Linked DNA regions of Tribolium castaneum. The protein of the gene in region 2 purifies or fractionates together with the protein of the main gene of each other region. This does not show direct contact. Links are inferred from orthologs where the notes say so. Each region holds a gene or a part of one and is shown on either strand. Other genes may lie near its edges.

Evidence for each region.
Region 1: the proteins of Khc-73 (region 2) and dlg1 purify together in Drosophila melanogaster (affinity purification with western blotting; 3 studies listed by BioGRID). This does not show direct contact. The link is inferred for Tribolium castaneum from reciprocal best matches to the Drosophila melanogaster genes Khc-73 and dlg1.

What each region holds. Positions count from the first base shown.
Region 1 is NC_087397.1:8,310,115-8,319,727, forward strand, and holds part of dlg1 (disks large 1 tumor suppressor protein), read right to left. Parts: intron 8,851-9,613; coding exon 8,575-8,850; intron 6,142-8,574; coding exon 5,920-6,141; intron 3,756-5,919; coding exon 3,608-3,755; intron 1,652-3,607; coding exon 1,546-1,651; intron 1-1,545. UniProt on the Drosophila melanogaster protein: During embryonic development, some isoforms are essential for proper neuronal differentiation and organization. Required for cell polarity; maintenance of apicobasal polarity.
Region 2 is NC_087403.1:4,109,053-4,118,665, forward strand, and holds the end of Khc-73 (kinesin-like protein KIF13A), read left to right. Parts: coding exon 1-997; intron 998-1,045; coding exon 1,046-1,237; intron 1,238-1,291; coding exon 1,292-1,585; intron 1,586-1,632; coding exon 1,633-1,775; intron 1,776-1,836; coding exon 1,837-1,857; intron 1,858-1,914; coding exon 1,915-2,074; intron 2,075-2,443; coding exon 2,444-2,458; intron 2,459-3,259; coding exon 3,260-3,334; intron 3,335-3,452; coding exon 3,453-3,619; intron 3,620-3,668; coding exon 3,669-3,944; intron 3,945-3,993; coding exon 3,994-4,315; intron 4,316-4,361; coding exon 4,362-4,718; intron 4,719-4,764; coding exon 4,765-4,847; 3' UTR 4,848-6,319; downstream 6,320-9,613. Other genes in the region: phospholipid scramblase 1, read right to left, coding at 6,367-6,423, 6,472-6,792, 6,839-7,059, 7,109-7,261, 7,305-7,379, 7,466-7,502; uncharacterized protein LOC103313041, read right to left, coding at 8,228-8,422, 8,467-8,576, 8,623-9,613.

The DNA.
Region 1 (9,613 bases), on a different chromosome or scaffold from region 2:
ATGACTGCCCAGCGCTACGTACAGGAGGTTCTGGAACCTGTCGCAGTACCATATGTGCAAACTATTGAAAACGCGTCGTTTCAACAGGATAACGCCACGCCACACTCAGCACGCTTTACGTTGAGGTACTTAGAAGAAGTTCAGGTGCAAGTTCTTCCTTGGCCGCCTCGATCGCCTGACCTCTCGCCGATCGAGCACATATGGGATTCAATAGGTCGGCGAGTGACGAATTTACCCCAGCCTCCACAAACGCTAGCGGACCTGCGACGAGAAATTTTGACTGCTTGGGAGGCCCTGCCCCAAGACGAAATTAATCATTTAATTCGAAGTATGCCACGGAGGGTTGCAGAGTGTATACATGCACGTGGAGGGCCAACCCATTATTAAGTTTTTTTTGTTAAAATTTTTATTTTTCAATTACACTTTTTTCATCATTTATTGTTTACTTTACCACCATTTTATATTTTTAATTTCATTAAATTCAACGCATTATTTCTGGGTGTTCCGCTTTTTTTGATAAGTAGTATATGTGGTATTTTAGTTAAAATTAGCAACATTTGAGAACGAAATTAAATTAAAGCAACTAACCTGATCATGTTAAAACCGATTACAAATCCCACATAAAACATCCACTAACTTTGAATGTCAAGCACCAACTCATGAATCTTCAAGCCATTGTGGAAGAAGAATCGAAAAAACGTGTAGGAATGCAACGCTAGTTGCAAGCAAATTGACTGAGAACTCTCCCGTTAAAAAATTGTTAATGATCGTTTAGCATAAGTTAATTCGTCGAAATGTGTCTCAGCGCCAAGGTAGTTGTCAACTCATTACCATTCTATCGGCAAGGAAGTTAAAGTTCATGAATGAGTGAGTGATGCAGTGACGGTTTTTTCTCCACGAATTAACTTGTTGTATTCAATTGTGGCAACTTTTTCCTTTTACTTTCAATTCAGTCGCCTTTGAAGTGGCTGCAAACTTCCTTATTAATGAGGAATTTTAACAAAGTGACTTTAATCGAATTTTTAGTTGGAGCTAGCGCTCAAACTTTCTAAATTTGGAAAAATGGTCTCTGGTTGCAGATGCATTTTTTGCTAAATGCTAATCCGGCGTTGTGTTAAATTCATGGTAACAATTATTCATTATTAATGCGCATTTTTGCCACAGAGGCTTTATTAAAACATCCATTTTAGTGGTAATTTATGGACATCGGGCACCGCATGACGACAAATCAATGGATTTCAATGGAGCGCTTCGCAATAAAAACAAATTCACTAAGCGGATCCGTTATTATTATGAAACAATAATAATTAGGCCTGACAAATGATTAAACTCTTTGTAACAAGCGGTCAAACAAAATAACACGCAGCGAAATTTGTCATTATTTCCAGACGAAAAGTTTTAATTATTGAATTAATTAGTAAATTCACCTCGAAATATTTGAGGAGAAATTCCGTTACCGCCCTGTTAAATAATTAATTTGCCAACTTCACAGAGAGGGTATAAAATATACTCGAAGCCTGGGGATTACGCCGGGTTTGAACTTACCGAGATACATCCTCCTGGCTGACAGCCCTTGGTGTTGAGGGTGGATGGTGAAGTGCGAGGTTTGATGAGTGAATCGACTCGGGGTACGCGTTTGATGCCTTCGTAGCTGGAACAATTTTCAATTATTTTTCACTTGATCCATAAACAATAACCCACCATTCTGAGAGAATTAAGTTAGATTTGAGTGTCATTCAACGGCGCTCTTATACAATGAAAAAATCTCCATCTTATTTCGTATTAGGTCGGCAAATAAATAAAGACGTTTTCGATTTGAAAACCAGGCTAAAAAAATCAATAAGCTCTGACATTAAAATGTTTTTCAACCGAAACGGCAAAATTTCGTCAAAAATTATACAAAAAATAATATTTTTGACTTTTTCGGAGAGTTTTTGAGCTAATTAGCAAATTACAAAAATAACATTGTCTTGATAAAAATATCGAAAAACCGCTGAATTGGATAATTGGATCGAAAATGTTGTCAATTTTGCTTTTTACAAGCGATCATGTAAGTACATTATTTTCAGTCAGACAATTAATATTTCACTCACAATTTATTCAAAAATACCAAAAAAATCATTGAATTGGATTGAAGATGGTATAAATCTAGCATTTTTCGAGCGCTGAACACGCATTTGAAATAACAAATCAGTTTCTTTGCGAGATTTTGTTATACCGGAAAGAAAAATCAGTAAATTGGAACAAAAATGGTATTTTTTTAAGCTTTTTAGCTCTTTATCGAGCCAGAAAAGTAATGATTATTATTATTACTATTATTATTTTTCTTTATAAATTTTGAACGTCTCTCCCGACTGATCAATTGATTAACATAATTAGATACCTCGTAAAGAGATTCTCTAAATTGTCCAAAGTACAAAATATCTGACTTTAACAGTTTTTTTATTGTATTTTCGGTTAATGCGTCTACGTGTATTGAACTTAGAGATGGACAGAACTTAAGTATGTGAAAATCGAAACAATTTTATATGAAAAAAAAAAACCATGCAAACTTGTGATATAACGCAAAGGGCTAGTAAAAAAGTAGCATTTTAATTAACCTAAACCTAAATAAAAAAAAGTTTTTCACCCTTGAATTATGTTAATACGAGTACATAATACCGATTTGAATTTCATTTTGTTTGTAGATATTTATTTATATTTATTGTTATGAGATTAAACCAATTAAATTCTTTGTTGATATTATTTTTATTAATTGAAAAATCGTATTCGCACATAAATTGCTGATTTAAATTTGCAGTTTTCTCTTGATACTCCTACCGCTCTTTGAACAGACAAATTTTGATGGTCCATTCAAGTGAAATTCTACTGTAGGTATTATTTTACCAACACAATTTTTTTTTAAATCTTTATTCCGCTCAGGAAATGTAAAAAATATTGTGAAAATATAGAAAAAATTAGAAGTAGTAAAACCAAAGCAAACGGTGCTGGATTTTTTTTTGCGTAGTGTACGACATGCTAAACAGTACCTACAAAATAAACTCGAGTTTGCACCCAATTCACTAGTTTTCAATAATTTATTTTCTTATCCATAGTTTAATTGCGCGCGAGATAAACAAAAACCTTATTATTATTACACTTTAATAATATTAAATAAGATTTGAGTCATATAACAGCGTCTTGACACAATAAAAAAGAGTCTCGATCTAATTTCAAACAACACGGTAAGTAAATAAATTCATTATTGATTTGCAAACCTTGTTTTATTTTTAAAAGCTCGTGTTTCTGCAACGTTTCATGAAATGATTTTCCTGAATATCGTCCATAGGCAACCAGTTATACCCGCAGCGCTTTTTTCCGTTTTACGCAAAGAAAAACCTCGTAATTTTCTCGCGAGACAGATTTATTGTTATTTGCAGCGTCACACAAGATAATGGTCTTTAGCCGCATTTAGAAGCGGCTATTGTTAATGTCGCCGCGAAGCGACCAACCCTTCTACAGTAATTTAATAAAATTATGAATGGATAACTGCTCCTGGGCTTTAAGGTAAAACCTGACGTTTGAATTATGAGATCGCGTCAGAAACAGTTATATATTTCTAACTTACACAATTGCGGCGAGTAGGAAGTATCAGATGCGGGAGCATTAAAGGCACTGTCTGGTTTGGCGACGACGAGCACAACCCTGTCCTGCGTTGTTTTGAGCGTAGTGACGGCGTCCTCATGGGTGACATTCTCCAGGTTAACTTCGCCTTTCTGAAAAACAACGTGAAACGTTTAATTAAAAGGAGAAAAAGGCAATTGTTGCAGACACCGATAGAGGAGAACGAGCGAAAGAAAATTTGATTATGTAATTATGTCGGAAGAACTGGCGTTATTTTATGTGAAATACGTGCTTTCTTTTCTTTGGACCTGGTGGCGCTTTCAGTGGAATTAGTTGGCTAATTTTTATTTGGTTGCTCGCAGAGGCGGTGAGAATGAAATATCTTTTATAAGCCTTTTTTACACGGAAAAACAAAATAGTTGTTCTCAAAAACTTCTGTAAGAATATTGTTAACGGCCTGATCAATAGAATTTTTGTTAATAAGTTTTAGGTTCGATTAATTAGTATTCCTTTTTTATAATCTTGTAGTTTGTGTTGTTTTTACTTTGTTTATTTTTTCTGTTTAACTGCTACGAAAAATTTTTAAAACCGCAATTGCCGCATTACGTCTTCCCCATTTTTATAAACATCTCTAAATGTAAAAGTAGAAGTAAATAACGATTTATTCATACAGTCATTTGACTCCATGTGTTGCATTAGCTCGACTTTTTGTTGTTTAAACATACTTGTTTTACGGATTGTGAGCACATTTCTAAAATGTACCGATTTTATAAATTAATTTCCTTTATAATTTAATTTAACTGCAATGCAACGTTATGACGTTTTTAATTCGTGGTCAGTGAGCACTATTTATATAATAATAAAAAAATTCTTTTGTTATTGACAACATCAATCAATTGTACAAATTCATAAGAACACGTTTCAAATATGTTCCCATTAAAAAAAGTCCCGACAAGGATACAGAGTACTGTATGGGAATTTTGACATGAGAACAAATTGGTGGAAAATTTTCCTACAAGTTAGGGAGAATAGGGTCCCAAAACGCATCCTTTTCGTCACAACAGCACAGGTGGATCATTAAATTAGAAAATCCGAGTGCGCCTTGCCAGATGCGACGGAAGAGCGGATGAGGAAGTTGAGCTATGCAACTTTCACGAGCGGCGGTTTTTCATTCACAACTCGTCTTAAATTCGGGAAAATCCGCCCCGGAATATAACAAATCATCTCGGGCCGTATTTATGATGAAAATTTACAAATTTCGATTAGCGAAAATTGAATTGGTTTATCGCCGAAATATGAAATTTTAACACCCTTCTCGTAATAAATTCCACATTTTAAAAAGCGTGAAATGCAAATAAACCCAGCGTGCACATGTTGTGTTGTTTTGCAAATTGTTTCGTGCATTTTTAATAATACGCCGAGCTGTCACAGGGCAATGCCATTGCCGTTCCGCTGCAAATTTCAAAAGACGACCACATTCATTGGAGATTATAGAAGAGAAACATTGCGTGGTGACTTTTGTGAATAAAATATCACAATGGAAATCCTAAACTCAATAAAATAACTGAAAGTTATTGATGCATTCTAAAATTTGTTTTTGTAACTCGCTGAATCTGTTTTACGTTGCTAATTGATATGAATCGACCTTAATAATAGTGTTTGCATGCAGGGCCTCCGGCTACGAATAAAAACAGTATCAGGAAAAATCCACATTGTTGAAGAGATCACGCGTTATTAGAAACAGTAGAAAAGAGAAATATGAAAAAGGATATTACGGCAATATTTCCATTTCGTGCTCCTTTTGAAAATCAATAGCACTATCAGTTCGTATATAAAAAACATCCCTGATAGGCAAAAATACCTCAACTATTTTCCTCTAAAAGAAAACTCGCTTCTTTTACTAACGCTGAACGGAAGTTCGTTCGGCGAAGACACGTTTGTCGTCGTGTATTTTCCCAGAATAATGAAAAGCCCCGTAGTCAAAAGAACATGGAAATTGTAAACGTAAAATAACGGGCTGACGACAGCGCATCATAAAATATTACGTACGGAACGTAAAACTAAGAGAAAATGAGAAATGTGTACGTTACTTAACACTTTAATAACGACCCCAAAAAGTGGAAACCGAATTTAATTAAAGTCGCGACTGCAATAATTTGAAAAATGCGCCTTCTTTCCCATCACATAAAACAAGAAATCGTTTAAAAACTTGTTGCTGTATAAACGTAAATTCTCTCGTCGTAAATGTTGAAGTGTCTCTCGATTGAGATTTTGCAACGTTCAGTCGACGAAACGTCTGGATAAGAGGATACTTACGACAGCGTCCCTGACTGCGACGAGTTTATCGCCAACAAGGAGACGACCATCCACTTGAGCAGCACCACCCTCCATCACTTTAGTGACATAAATGCCGTTATCACCGGGGATGTGCTGATTGCCAATGCCACCGGCAATGCTAAAGCCGAGACCTTTGTTGCCTTTTACCAACTCGATCTCCATCAGTCTCATGTTGCGAGGTTGTCGCCGGCGTCGCACGCACTGAAAAATCACAAATTACTTAATTCACTTTGTGATCTCAAACAATTAACAGTCTAAAACTCAAGCTAATAAACGCTTTAATCAGGAGCTAACGGCTTCTCTTTGTAGGTTTTTCTGATTAAGGAACTAAATTAAAGATTGTTGTTTTTATGGAGATTTTTTTTGAATAATTTGAAAAATTCGCTAGGTTAGAACAAAATTCCAAAATAAAACCAAATGGTGCGATTGTTTTAATCAATTTTTAGAGCATTTTTCGATGGCAAATTCACCTCTCGTTTCTAAAGTACAAAACGAAGCTGCATATTTATATGTACCCGTAAATTAACAGAAATATATATTACTTTTCATAAATTTATGACCTCATTTTTCATTTGCTAAAACAATGTGGAAAATTATTAGTAAATTAGATCTAACTTTATGTGATTTCAAATCTTACTAATAAATTCGACGTATTTTGCCAACCAACCAACCAAAAAATCGATTGCATTATTTATTTTGTCAATTTAGAAACATTTTCCAATGAAAATAAACAAAATATTGGTCCGAAAAGTGTTTTTTGAGCTTTTATTTATTGACCTAGAGCATTTTCATAGCAAGAAATCCACTGAATCCAAAGGTTCTGTCAATCAAAATAAAAAAAAGTCTGAAATAAGATATTTTTTTAAAATATGGTAACATCTTAAAGAGAATAATTTTTAAATCAAAGCAAAGTGTAAAATCGTTAAATCAAATCTAAAAAGTGTTATTTTCTGTGAAGTTGGAAATGAAAGCTCAAAGCCAGAAATTCACTAAACTTGAAAGATTCTGTTAAAACATTGAAAAATTCTTCATATTTGCTTCTTCCGACAGAATCTAATTTTTCAAGCTTAAACAGCTGAAATTGTCATCTTCAATAACTTACAAAATACAAAGTATTTTGCCAAAACAAAGTAGAAAATCCATATCGAATGCATTATTGTTTCCTAATTTAGGAACATTTTCACCGAAAAAAAGCAGAAATACTAAAGCAGAACTTTCTATCTATTTCGAAACATATTTCACCGATAAACTTACAAAATTAACAAAAATGTACTACTTTCCCAAAATGTAAGATCTTATTCTTCAGTAAGATATTTAAAAATTTATGAAGAAAATCGTAGAGAAATTATTTGAAATTTTCTGTGAGTTTAGAAACATTTTCAGAGACTTACTAAATTCGAACTATTTTACCAAAACAAAGCATCAAACAAAGCATGTCGAATGCATTATTATGTTTATATCTAAATTTATGAACATATTTCAGTGAAAGACTGAGTCGGAGAAAGCAGAAATATTTGAACAAAGAGTCAAAAAGCTATAAATAAAAATAGAAGTCCGAAATGGATGATAAACTTAATAAATTAGAAATGTATTGTTATAAAAGAATAACACTGACATACGAACGCTTTAGACTTATTTTTCAAACGAATTTACTGAAACGAAGTAGAACATCGTTAAATTAGAAGTATGCTTGTATACTTCAAATCAACAGTTATATTTTTTCCGTTTTACCCCAATTTTCCCATTAGCACCTAAATTTCCGTCCTAATTCAAAGACAATACATAAAAATAATTTCAAATTTAAGATGCAACAGCACGTTTAATGCAAACTCTAATTGGTATTTTGTGTTCTTTGTAAGTCTTCGTTTAAGCACTGGCGTTTTCGAATTAAGTGGTAACGAATTTGGACGTTCAGCCGTTGGGAAAAGCCTTTGATAGAAGTAAAAATCGTGTCGTTCGAAATTTAATTCCGCTCCTAAGTATATTTATTACTATCGAAGAGCATCGTCAATATTTCCGGAACAATTTTCTTCCTCGTTGATCAATCAATCGAAGGACCGGAACAACATTGATTTTGATGAGCGTGAAATTCCCTGAAGGGGAATAGGCCGAGTTTATCTTTGAGAAAACAGACGCGATTAAATACTCCTCTGCGTATTTTTGCAATCAACTCGTCGGGTAAATATTTCAAGAAGAAATAAAATGATTACTCTATAATCCTTAGCCTTTCCGAAAACGGCGACACCTTTGAAATTGATTTCGGGGCTGTTCACCCCCATATTTCTCGAGATTACAGGTAGATAAAACACCGGCATGGGTAAAAATAACGTTTCGCGTCGACGAGTTTCACTAAACTGAAATCGCATGTGATGCAGCAAAATAAATTCGAACCGTGTCATAGGTGCACGACATAACCCGGCGCATCCGCCTTTTGTCGACGTGAAGGCCCGAAGTTACGATGGTGCACTATCTGCGATGAAAATCGGATTCTTGACTATAACTAATGACGACTCTCGGCAATCCTTACAATAGCTGTTTCGTTGCGAATTTTCAACAACAACCTTTTGAATCGTGCACGACATCATTATTTACAGGCGGAAAATATCGGGAAAACATCATAGAAAGCGCACTTACTAATTTGACTGTGTTGCCGGCCTTCTTGAGGGCCTCGACGGCGCTGGCGTGGGGGACATCGACGACGGGGACGTCGTTGACCGATAAAATCGAATCGTTCACCCGGAGTCGGCCGTCCGCCGACGCCGCTCCCCCAGGTATGAGTTTAGTGATATAAATCGCAGTGTCGTCGCCGATGTGGGGGTTGTCCGTGCCTCCGGCGATGCTGAAACCCAAGCCGGCGCCACCCCTTTCCAAAATGATTTCCTCGTACTCCCACTCATCGTCGCCGTTTACCTGCAGAGCAGAAAAACATACACTTACATCGAACGTAAATCCCTTGTAGGTATATTATTATTATTATCATCTAAGGGTTATTTCTGACATGATATCCGAAGATGCAAACAAAAATACTAAATACATATTTCACTTTGAAAATGCGTTTGATTTTTTAAACATTAATCGATTCAACATTGGTTTTTACCCTTTAAGTAATAATAGCAGTCTACAATAATTCCATAATGGACTCACCCTGTTTATTACTTTTATAAAAAAGATGCTATAGCACATATTTCAACAAACTCTACAAAAATAAAAATATTTAGAAAAAAATTCCTTTCAATTATTCAGTATTAAGCAGTATTAAGAAGTGAAGTAATTTTTTTTTCTTAATTTCTTAAAATATTTTTAATCCTGTGATATAATCAAGGAAGAGAGCAATTTCCTTCACTCTTCAAGTCAACGAAACCGAAAATTATCTATAATAATCTTCAATATTAAATTTTAAAAGTTGATTTTTATATCCAAAAATTAAATTAAATTAAAAATTAAATTATAAATTGCGAGTTCTGGATTTAAGAATATAATTTCTCAAAAAAATATTTATATAATAGTGTTAGTTATTCTTGTAAGAAGGCATTAGCTTAATTGAAAATTTACCCCTATTAATTTAAATTTTGTTAGTACAGTAAAACCTCTTAACAACGGACACCGATGAGGAACTTTTAATAGTCCGTTGTAGAGAGGTGTCCGCTAATAGGAAGTGGAAATTTTAGTACAG
Region 2 (9,613 bases):
GCTGGAACTTTCCCTCAAGACCGGATATGCGAAGCTGCTTCAGATAGCTCCTCCGATAGCAGCCACGACGATGAGGACCACGGCACTCCCAGCGTCACCTGCCGCGTCCACATCAGACAAGCTTCAGGTTTACCGCTATCACTGTCACACTACGTGTTCTGCCAATACACCTTTTGGAACCACCCTGACCCGATTGTCGTGCCCACAAACTCGGATGTTGCCACGTTCCAGTTGCCGGTTTCCAAAGACTCGACGGTGTTTAAATTCGACCATGTGAAAGATTTTGTTGTACCTGTAACCGAAGAGTTCCTCGAGCACTGCGCCGAAGGCGCCCTCTCCATAGAAGTGTGGGGCAACAGAAGTGCCGGCTTTTCCAAGCACAAACCCGGCTGGGAAGTCGAGCAACAACTCGCCACAGCCCGGTCTTTGGTCGACCGGTGGTCCGAACTGACCCGAAAAATCGAACTCTGGGTCGAAATACAAGAACTGAACGACCAGGGAGAATACGCCCCGGTTGAAGTCACCACCAAAAACGAAGTATCAGCCGGGGGGGTGTACCAGTTGCGTCAGGGACAGCAGAGACGGATCCAGGTCCGGGTTAAGCCGGTCCAGAACTCTGGAACACTACCAATCATCTGCCAGGAAATTGTCAAAATCGAAGTTGGGGGCGTGATGGTACGAAGCCGGCTCCAGAAACACCTGGACTCGTACCAAGAGGAGGACTTGACGGTTTTGAGGGAGAAGTGGAACGAGGCGCTCTTGAGGCGCCACCAGTACCTGGAGCAACAAATCAAAAAGCTGCTGGAGAAGCCGAACAAGACCGACCAGGACTGCGAACGCGAGCAGAGTTTGATGGACCAGTGGGTGAATTTAACGGAGGAACGCAATGCTGTTATTATTCCGAAGCCGGGGGCTGGGATTCCTGGTGCCCCAGCTGTGTGGAGCCCACCACCCGGCATGGAACCCTACGTCCCAGTCCTATTTTTAGATTTAAATGGTAAAATTACTGTTTTTTGTGGCCGCATTTTAATAATTGCGATTCCAGCCGATGATTTTAGCACGCACCAATCTGGGGTCGAGGTTACTGTGGCTGGTGCTAACTCAATCCTGCCTAAGGAAGTGGGTAGTACGTTTTACAGTCTACACATTTTGCACCACTTGGAGAAAGATGTGTGTGCTGTGGCCAGCTGGGACTCGTCGATTCATAACAGTTCACATTTGAATAAAATAACAGAACGTGAGTTCTGAGTTGTTGGAATTAAGTGCCACTTCTAGTTGTTCGATTTTCTAGCAATGGAGCGTGTTTATATGATTTTGCGGATTACGGTGCGGTTGTCGCACCCTGCACAGATGGATCTGGTACTCAGAAAACGTCTCTCCTTGAATATCTACAAGAGACAGAGCATTACGGACCGAATTAAACGAAAAATAGTCCGTTCGGATGTCATTACTCAGTGCGGTGTTACGTACGAGGTTGTTTCAAACGTGCCGAAAGCGAGCGAAGAGCTGGAAGATCGCGAGTCTTTAGCCCAGCTTGTGGCGTCTGGGGAAGATTCGTCTTTATCCGATGGAGAGACTTACATTGGTAATCAATTTTTTGCGTATTTCACAGGAGTAATGTTTTCTTATTAGAAAAATACACCCGTGGTGTGAGCGCTGTTGAAAGTATCTTAACGTTAGACCGTTTGAGGCAAAGTGTCGCTGTGAAAGAACTGCTTCAAGCTAAAGGCCAACCACTGATGAGGAAAACAGCAAGTGTGCCTAACTTCTCCCAGGTAACTAACCGCTTTTTCTATTTTTCAATTCTCTCTCACGTTTGTACATTCTTGCAATCAGGCTTTGGAAACAAAGAATGGGGTATGTCCTTTCCTTGGTCTTTGTGTTATTGTACTACGTTTGCTTGGTTTTTTCTAGTTCATGAGGTTAGATATGAGCACCGAGTCGCTCCATATGTCCCGCTCTGAGAGTGTGTCGGAACTGAACAGTGAACTTCACGGAGTTACGACTCCCTTGAGGCCGAGGAGCAGCTTCGGGAAGGACTCCGAAGGCACTCCTTCGAAACCCTTCGGCATAGGTAGGTCCCAAGTCAAGTTTTATTTATTCCGATTAATGAGAATAGTTTAGTTCAAATATCAATGTTTTATTTTAGAGAAATAGTTAATAGCTAGTTTTCAGAGATTTAGATTGTTTGGTGCCATTGCTGTTACGCTTTGGGGCCGTATGTTTTTACAAAACATCTAAATGTTTAACTGATAATGACGTGCTCATCACCACGCTGAGATTTTTTAATGTTAATTTTCATGTTTTCACAAAATGTGCACTGAACCCTTCTTAACTCTTTTCTACCATGGTGTTTTTATCGATGTTGGAGCTTGAGGCTCTTCCAACTTGTCAAATTTTTTGCTTGACTAATTTGGATTGAATTTTTTTCTGCAACCACAAGGCTCCATTCTTTCAGGTAAAATGGAGGCTTGCATATTGAGATTGCTATATAGGTGGATACAGATCATGACTGTTTAAAGAACCGTCTGCTTGTCTGTAACATGAGTTTTGAGATAGTTTTTCATTCGTTCCGACCGGAAACACCTAATACTCTTCACAATTGATTTGCTTGTGTTAGTTGTTTTCAATGGTCATTCATTCTAGATCCATAGTTTGTCGTAGTTCATCTCAAAACTATGTTTCTCATGTAGTGTTAGACAACCGTAGAGAACAACATATTCAGCATGTTTTGGTTATAATTTGCCATTTTAATTTAAGCTTACCTAAGCATCAGTACTATATAAACTAACGAAGTAAAGCTAAATGCTATGCTTTAATAAGAATTTGGAGAAGTAAGCGTAAAGTAACGAACTGATGAATCATTCATCTTATCAATTGTAATGAAGTCACAGAGACTTACTTAAAACAGTACTGGGTGTAAAGTTGGATCCAACCAATTGGCAAAACTGTGATACCCGTATTATTCTAAGTAAATGTATCCTTAAAACAGCATCGTGAGCATGCGTAGTTATAAAATTAGTATTGAATTAATACTAGGTAACGTCCGATATGTATAATTGGCTATATCTGCATGTTCTGTTTTTTGTTAGACTAAAACAGGTCTCTTTGACTTTAAAATGATACATGTATCATTTTAAATGTTAGTGATTGTATATATAGATAATTATTGAGGTGTGACCTGACTATAAATACCATACAAAGCAGCACGGTGTTAGACAAGTGCTTTATACAACAACTAATTTATTGTATATTTCAGCTCGGCCGACTTTCTTAAATCTCAGCTTAAATCTGAACTCTTTACGGTTACAACAACCTACAGGAAGTTCAAAACGTATGTCGTCATACTCCTACATTTCGCCTTTTGTTTCTTATTTTTTGTTGATTTTAGCATGTTGTTTTTTTGTGTTCGTTACCACTGTCTTGTTCTTGTCTAACCGATAAAATTCCAGTGTTCCCCGGTATTACTTCACCTGCTAATACCAAGTTGGGCTTGAGAATGACCACTCTTCACGAGGAACAGCCTTCGTTGCCTAGAAAACATTCCTTGGATATTCTGAGTGATGACACAATTGAAGAGCAGTGTGAAGAGGGTCATGACGAAAAACACGAAGTTACTGTAAGTGTGTTTTTGGTTTAGATACAGTCAAGTCAGTCGATACTTGCAGTATAACGTGAGGAGTAGAACCAACGGACGACGAACAATTCCCACTTCACGAACTCTCGACTCCCTTGTCGAACTCGCTCCCAAGTCTAGCACACCTTCTACGACTTCAAGTGGCTACGGTTCTCAAGCAGTTTCGTCAACAAACTTATCAAGCGACGATTCGATGTCTTTGCGAAGCATCAGTGTTGACGAAACACCAGATTTGGAAGCGAAGCCAGTTTCCAATGACCTGCAACCGGTTTCGGAAGCAACTGATAGTTCGAGCGAAACTTATCAAGTACTGTCGGTAATTACTGGATTCGCCGATATTTGATTACGTGTTTCAGGAAAGCAATTACGGTGGCGAAAGCAATGAAAATGCCGACGATTTCGTCGCCAATGGCGTTGACAATCATTCCGATAATAACCAAGACAGACCTCCATGTGACAACGAAGGAAGCTCAGTAATCAAAACAAACCTATCACCCGGAAAAGTCGTACGACGAAAAAAATCATCAAAAACGCAACACTCGCAGCGAGCGTCATTCCCACAAATACGGCCACAATTATCAGAAAGTAAAGTTGCTCAAAACTACGAACAAAGTCTAATCCACACGAATTTAATACACGATGACGAAGGATTAGACAGTTCGACTGACCGATTAGAAGGTTGTCGACCACACCGTTGTTTCAGTTTCTAACTGTGTGTTTGCAGACGACTCCGAAAACAATTTCGGATCGAAGCCTGACTTGACCAAGTTGTCAGATGTTCCCGTCCCAGAGTGGGTCATACTGGGCGAAAGTGTTCTTATAAGACCGTACAATTCGTCAGGTGTCGTCGCCTACATTGGCGGCACCGAGTTCGCCTCTGGCACCTGGATTGGCGTCGAGCTCGACGCCCCCAAGGGCAAAAACGACGGAAGTGTGCAAGGAGTGCGCTATTTCAGCTGCCGGCCCAAGTACGGCATGTTCGTACGCGCTGATAAGCTGATATTGGACCGACGGGGCCGCGCAATGCGGGCCTACAAGGCCGATTCTCTTGCCAATAACAATAAGTGTGCGAGTGGAAAAGGTAAATGATTTGGTTTCGATTGTTGGTAGTCATGGGTGTCTTGCAGGCGACGGCGGCCTTCCCCGGTCGCGATCGCGCGGCGAAGGCCTGAACAGCGTGGGGACGCGGCCCAGTTCTAAAGCCAAATAGGCACAATAACTAGTCCCCTCCAATAATCCACCCGATTTTATGTATTATTGTGTGTTGAAACACATTCCATGTGTGTAGCTGTGCCGTCCATTTACGTGGCATAGAAACTTCCTAGGTTTGGTTTTGGTCTTTTGCTTTGCATTGCTGTTTGGTTGCACGACTTGACTTGGCCAACTGACTAAGCGACTACCTCTCATTCCTACCGGCAATCGTGTAAATTGGTAGTTTTACATGTGCCGTAGCTTTGGTATAACACAGTGGCACATATCAAATCAATGGGGAAATCGTTTTAATCTTGTCAAAATAATCCAGTATTATCGGCTCTTCACGTTATTTCTGGAATAATGGGGGCGAGAGCTTTCGTACCTTGATAGTTGAACGGGTTATTTGAGGATTAAATAAATTCTTTGTGTTTGTTTTTATTTTTTACGATTTTTCTTGGTTTTTATATTTTAAGAATTTCTTTCTGTGATAATTGCTGTTAGTTTCCACAGAAGCCCTGGAGTCTACTGGCTGAAGAGGGTATAGGTTTTGCGTGCTGTATAATTGAACAGATATAGTACATAAATATATAATTGTAATAGAATGTAGTTTACATAAAGTATTTAAACAATTCTGTGTGTTTGTAGAACATATAGTGATAAGATATGATGATAGGTCTGTAGTGATGATTTTTGCTATTGTTTCGTCACGAGTAAGACTGCATTCAGTTTGTCACCTGCAACGTTTTACATTCCATTTTTGAAATATATGATTATGTAAATTAATACGCAATGTTATCTAGTCTTTACTGTTTGTTTGTTGCTCAGTGATTATGTTAATCACCCATTTGATTCGGGTTTAGTCGTCCAGCCGATATTGGCTTCGGCAAAATAAATACTAGACCTGCACCTGTCCAATTTGAACCGTTCTGTCCAATTTGGGATAATATTTATGTAAAACTATATACCTGATGATGTAAATTACTAGAAATTCACGCTTCTTCGGTATATTTATTTGCATTCAACACGTTACTATGAGTGTCACTCTATGTTAGTCATTGAACATAACTGTAATATAGTTCCCTTGTATTTATATGTTCATCAAACAGCAACTATAGGTACTTACACCGGCTCGTTTAGTCTAACAATGCGGATGCATTCCGGACGCCCATAGCTACACAGTTGAGGCCAGAGTTCTAGCCACATGTACATTTTCAAATGTAAATATCGATCATTTTAATATCTGTCATTAATAAGATGTAGGACGCTTTTATTGTTACGTCATTGCTCTACTGGGTTTTGTTATTTATTTGGATGTAAGCAGCAAACTGTAATTTTATAGTTACAATATTTTACATACATTTTGTGTACATTTTTGTTGTCTATTGTGTACATCTTTAAATTATTTTAACGCGACATTTTGTAATAGTTTTAAAGTTTATTTGTAGCTGTGGTTCTACAAGCAATTTCAATAAATACATATTAAAAACACGAAGTTTTCTTTATTAACACTAATATAAGTACATAAAACTCCTTGACTAACAAATACATTTACAACCTTGTCGCTTTTTGGCACTCTCGAAATACATATACTCCTGCAAACAACCAAATCGGTGAAAATTCACAACAATACGAGATCTTACTAGAAGGAAGGCAGCTCCAAGGAGCAGTGCTTTGTGTCGGGTGTTGTTTTCCTGCCCCGGCATTTGCATGAACAAATTGTAAGCGACCTGGACTTGGTCCCACTGATGGATGATGCTTCCAATTTGCGTCATTCCGTCGCTGGTGAAGATCTGAAAGTTGTGGTTTTTGCTCCACATGCACCCGAACGCAGACTCCGGTCCCTCAATCCTGTAGATAATATCCATCTGTTTGTTGTAAATCACAAAGCAGGGTTTAGTCGCATTAAATTTTTGCTTGACTTTCCCCACATACTCTCCGGGTGGAATCCAAACTTCAAGTTCCTGAAAAAATTCATTAAGCCAAGCGTTTTTTTGATCTAGTCCCGACCTGTAAATAGAGGAAAATCGAGCAGCAGGAGCCACAAGCCAGCCGCCTCCTGAACTGTATAGCTTCTTGTTGGGTCGGGTCGTAAAGTCTCATTGCGAAAGCTCGACTTGATCCGAAACAAGTTCGCTGAAATGAAGTCGAGCTTTCGGTCGCATAGTAAATCGTTTCGCCTCTTGGCACTTTAACTGTGTAGCGATTCTCCGACTCGAGACTTGCCATCACTGGAAGAGGTTTCGGAGCAAAAGGGTCAACTACCAAGCATATATTTACGGTCTGTTAGTTCAACAGTTTGCTGAATTATGATTTGGTGCACGTCTTTCAAAAAATCCAAGCCGTGGAGAGGCGAAAAGTGGGACGTCATCGAAGTTTGCCAGTCGATTGTGGAGACTGGAATCGGCCGTCTTGTTCCTTGGTCCAGTCGTTCTGGAAATAACGGTTGGTTTCGTTCGTGGTGCGCAAAACTCACCTTGCTCGCGGGTTAATGACGGCGGCTCGGAAACAACAGGGGACGACCCTTCTGAAAAAACTGGCATGCTAATTTCTGAAAATTTAATTGTTTTGTATGGTTTGTATGAATTGCTTGATAACGCAATTAAAGTGAAATTGACTACGACTTTCGAAACTTACCCTCAACGGCCGGGTCATTTTCGCCCGTTGGAAACATGTTTTTTGAATTCTTTTGTGGCTTTTAGACGTACGTGGAGGTGTTTTGTGGTGCAATGTCGATATGAGTTTTATCTAATCTGGCATTGTTTTAGAGAGGATTTGGTCGTTTGTTAGGTGAGATAAGAAAAATCTGATTCAACATCAAATAAAATTGTCTATTTTACCATTAAAATATATTGAAACCGTTAATACAGTAGCACAGTCCTTTTGTCTAAGCAAGATCGATGGTCTTGATGCGGCGATTTCAAACGTGGGTTTGATGCGGAAATCGCCCTGTCAAAAATTTCTTAATTTAATCAGATATTTGGGATTATTGTCACGATCGTTCCAGGGCACTAATGAAATCGCCGTATCGACTCCAGTCAACTGCTCATAATAAAATCACGTTCAACGCATCCCTGTCACTAAAAAATTTAGATACAACAATGAGAATTTAAACCTGTACAGTAATGAAGTTGGAATTTATTACTTTGAACGTGTTTTAGAATGTGTAAAGATAAATCGCTGTATATTTCGAATAAACAAATAGAATATAAATATTTAACAACGAACTTCAGTGTTAATGTCATTTCTGAAGCAACATTTACTATGTGTACATTTAATAAGTTACAATGATAATACACCCATTGAAATAAATCAAGGCTGTCGTAAATATCGATACAATTTAGATGGCGTCGAGAGAAATCAAGGGCTTGACCCTTCCGGACATCGATCGTTCCTAGTTTATCGTCTGTCGGGACAGGCGAGCTCGCACTCCCCCAGCGGTTCCAGTCTTAACGAACGGTTAACATCGAGCAAATACCGGACCGACTTTTGCGCCTCCTTCTGGCACTCCTGCTTGCCATCGCACAGCTCGAACGCCTTGCTCAGGAACAGGACGTTGCATTGGCGAGTCGGGGCGAACCAGCTGTTATTAGTCTGCAAAAAAATCAATCAAAACCCACCACAAGCACCCAACTTACGCAAAGGAGACACATCTGGTGCATGTTGCACGCCGTCTCGAAGACCCTAGCATAGTGGCCCAGGACCGTGGCCACCTCATTGCACGCCCGCTGCACCTTGGGACACTCCTCTGCAAGGCAAACATTAACAAAGGCACACTCCGCCTGACTGTTTACCGAAAACTGTTTGCTCCAAGACCTCGGAAGGCGCCCGGTAATTCTGCTCCTCGCAGTCCTCGTCGCCTTGGGAGCACTTGATGGTATTGTCCCCTTCTGGAGTCTTCTCCCGCTCTTCGTCAACGGCCTGTTTCCGCGGCACTGCCACTCTTTTTTCCTCCGAAATGTCGTAGTCGTCGCTTTTGTGCTGCTTCAACCGCTCCTTTTCCTTCTCGACGCTGAGTTTGTACTCGCCTAAGGCCCGGCGCATCTTTTCCAAGCTGTAGGCGGCCGCTAGCCGCGAGATAACACGGTCCTTCACCTCCTGGATCTCCTGGGAGTCGGTGGCGCCTTCGTGGGCACCGGTGAATTTAAGCGCGTCGTCGATGATCGTGTCCTCCATGTTCTTCAATTTCGCGTCCATTTCGGACAGTTTCAGTTCTTCGGATTTGTTCTTCTTGTCGGACTCCTTTTTGCTGGGCTGGTCGTGGTTTTTGAACGACTGGAGCGGGTATTCGGCGTTGCGCTTGGTGGCCAAGGCGATGGCTTTGTGGTACCGCTCCAGCAACCACTGCTTGTCGAGTTCGTCGTCGGATTTCTTGCGCCGGTCCAGGCCGAAGTAATCGGACCAGTTGATCGATTTCTTCTGGATTTGGAGGGGCTTATCGCTGGGGGCGTCGGCCACTTCTTCTTTGGACGCGCTCGCTTTTTTGGAGGATTTCATCTTGGGTTTCGTCTCTTTTGCTAGTTCTTTTTTGGCGGTTTTGGACTTTTCCGGCTTGGGGGTTGTGACGGTGCCGAAGATGTTGCTCAAGTCTTGGGCGACTTTCGGGTCGGTTTTCTCGACTGAGTCCTTTTTGGTTGTTGAGCGTTTGTGCTCGTGGGTGATCTCCGACTGCGGGGGCTCGTAGCTGCTGCTTCGCTTTGACACGGGGAAGCGTTTCATCGGATATGACCTTTGTCGAGAGTCGTATTTCCGGTCTCTTTTGTGGTGTTTGGCTTTAGACCAGTC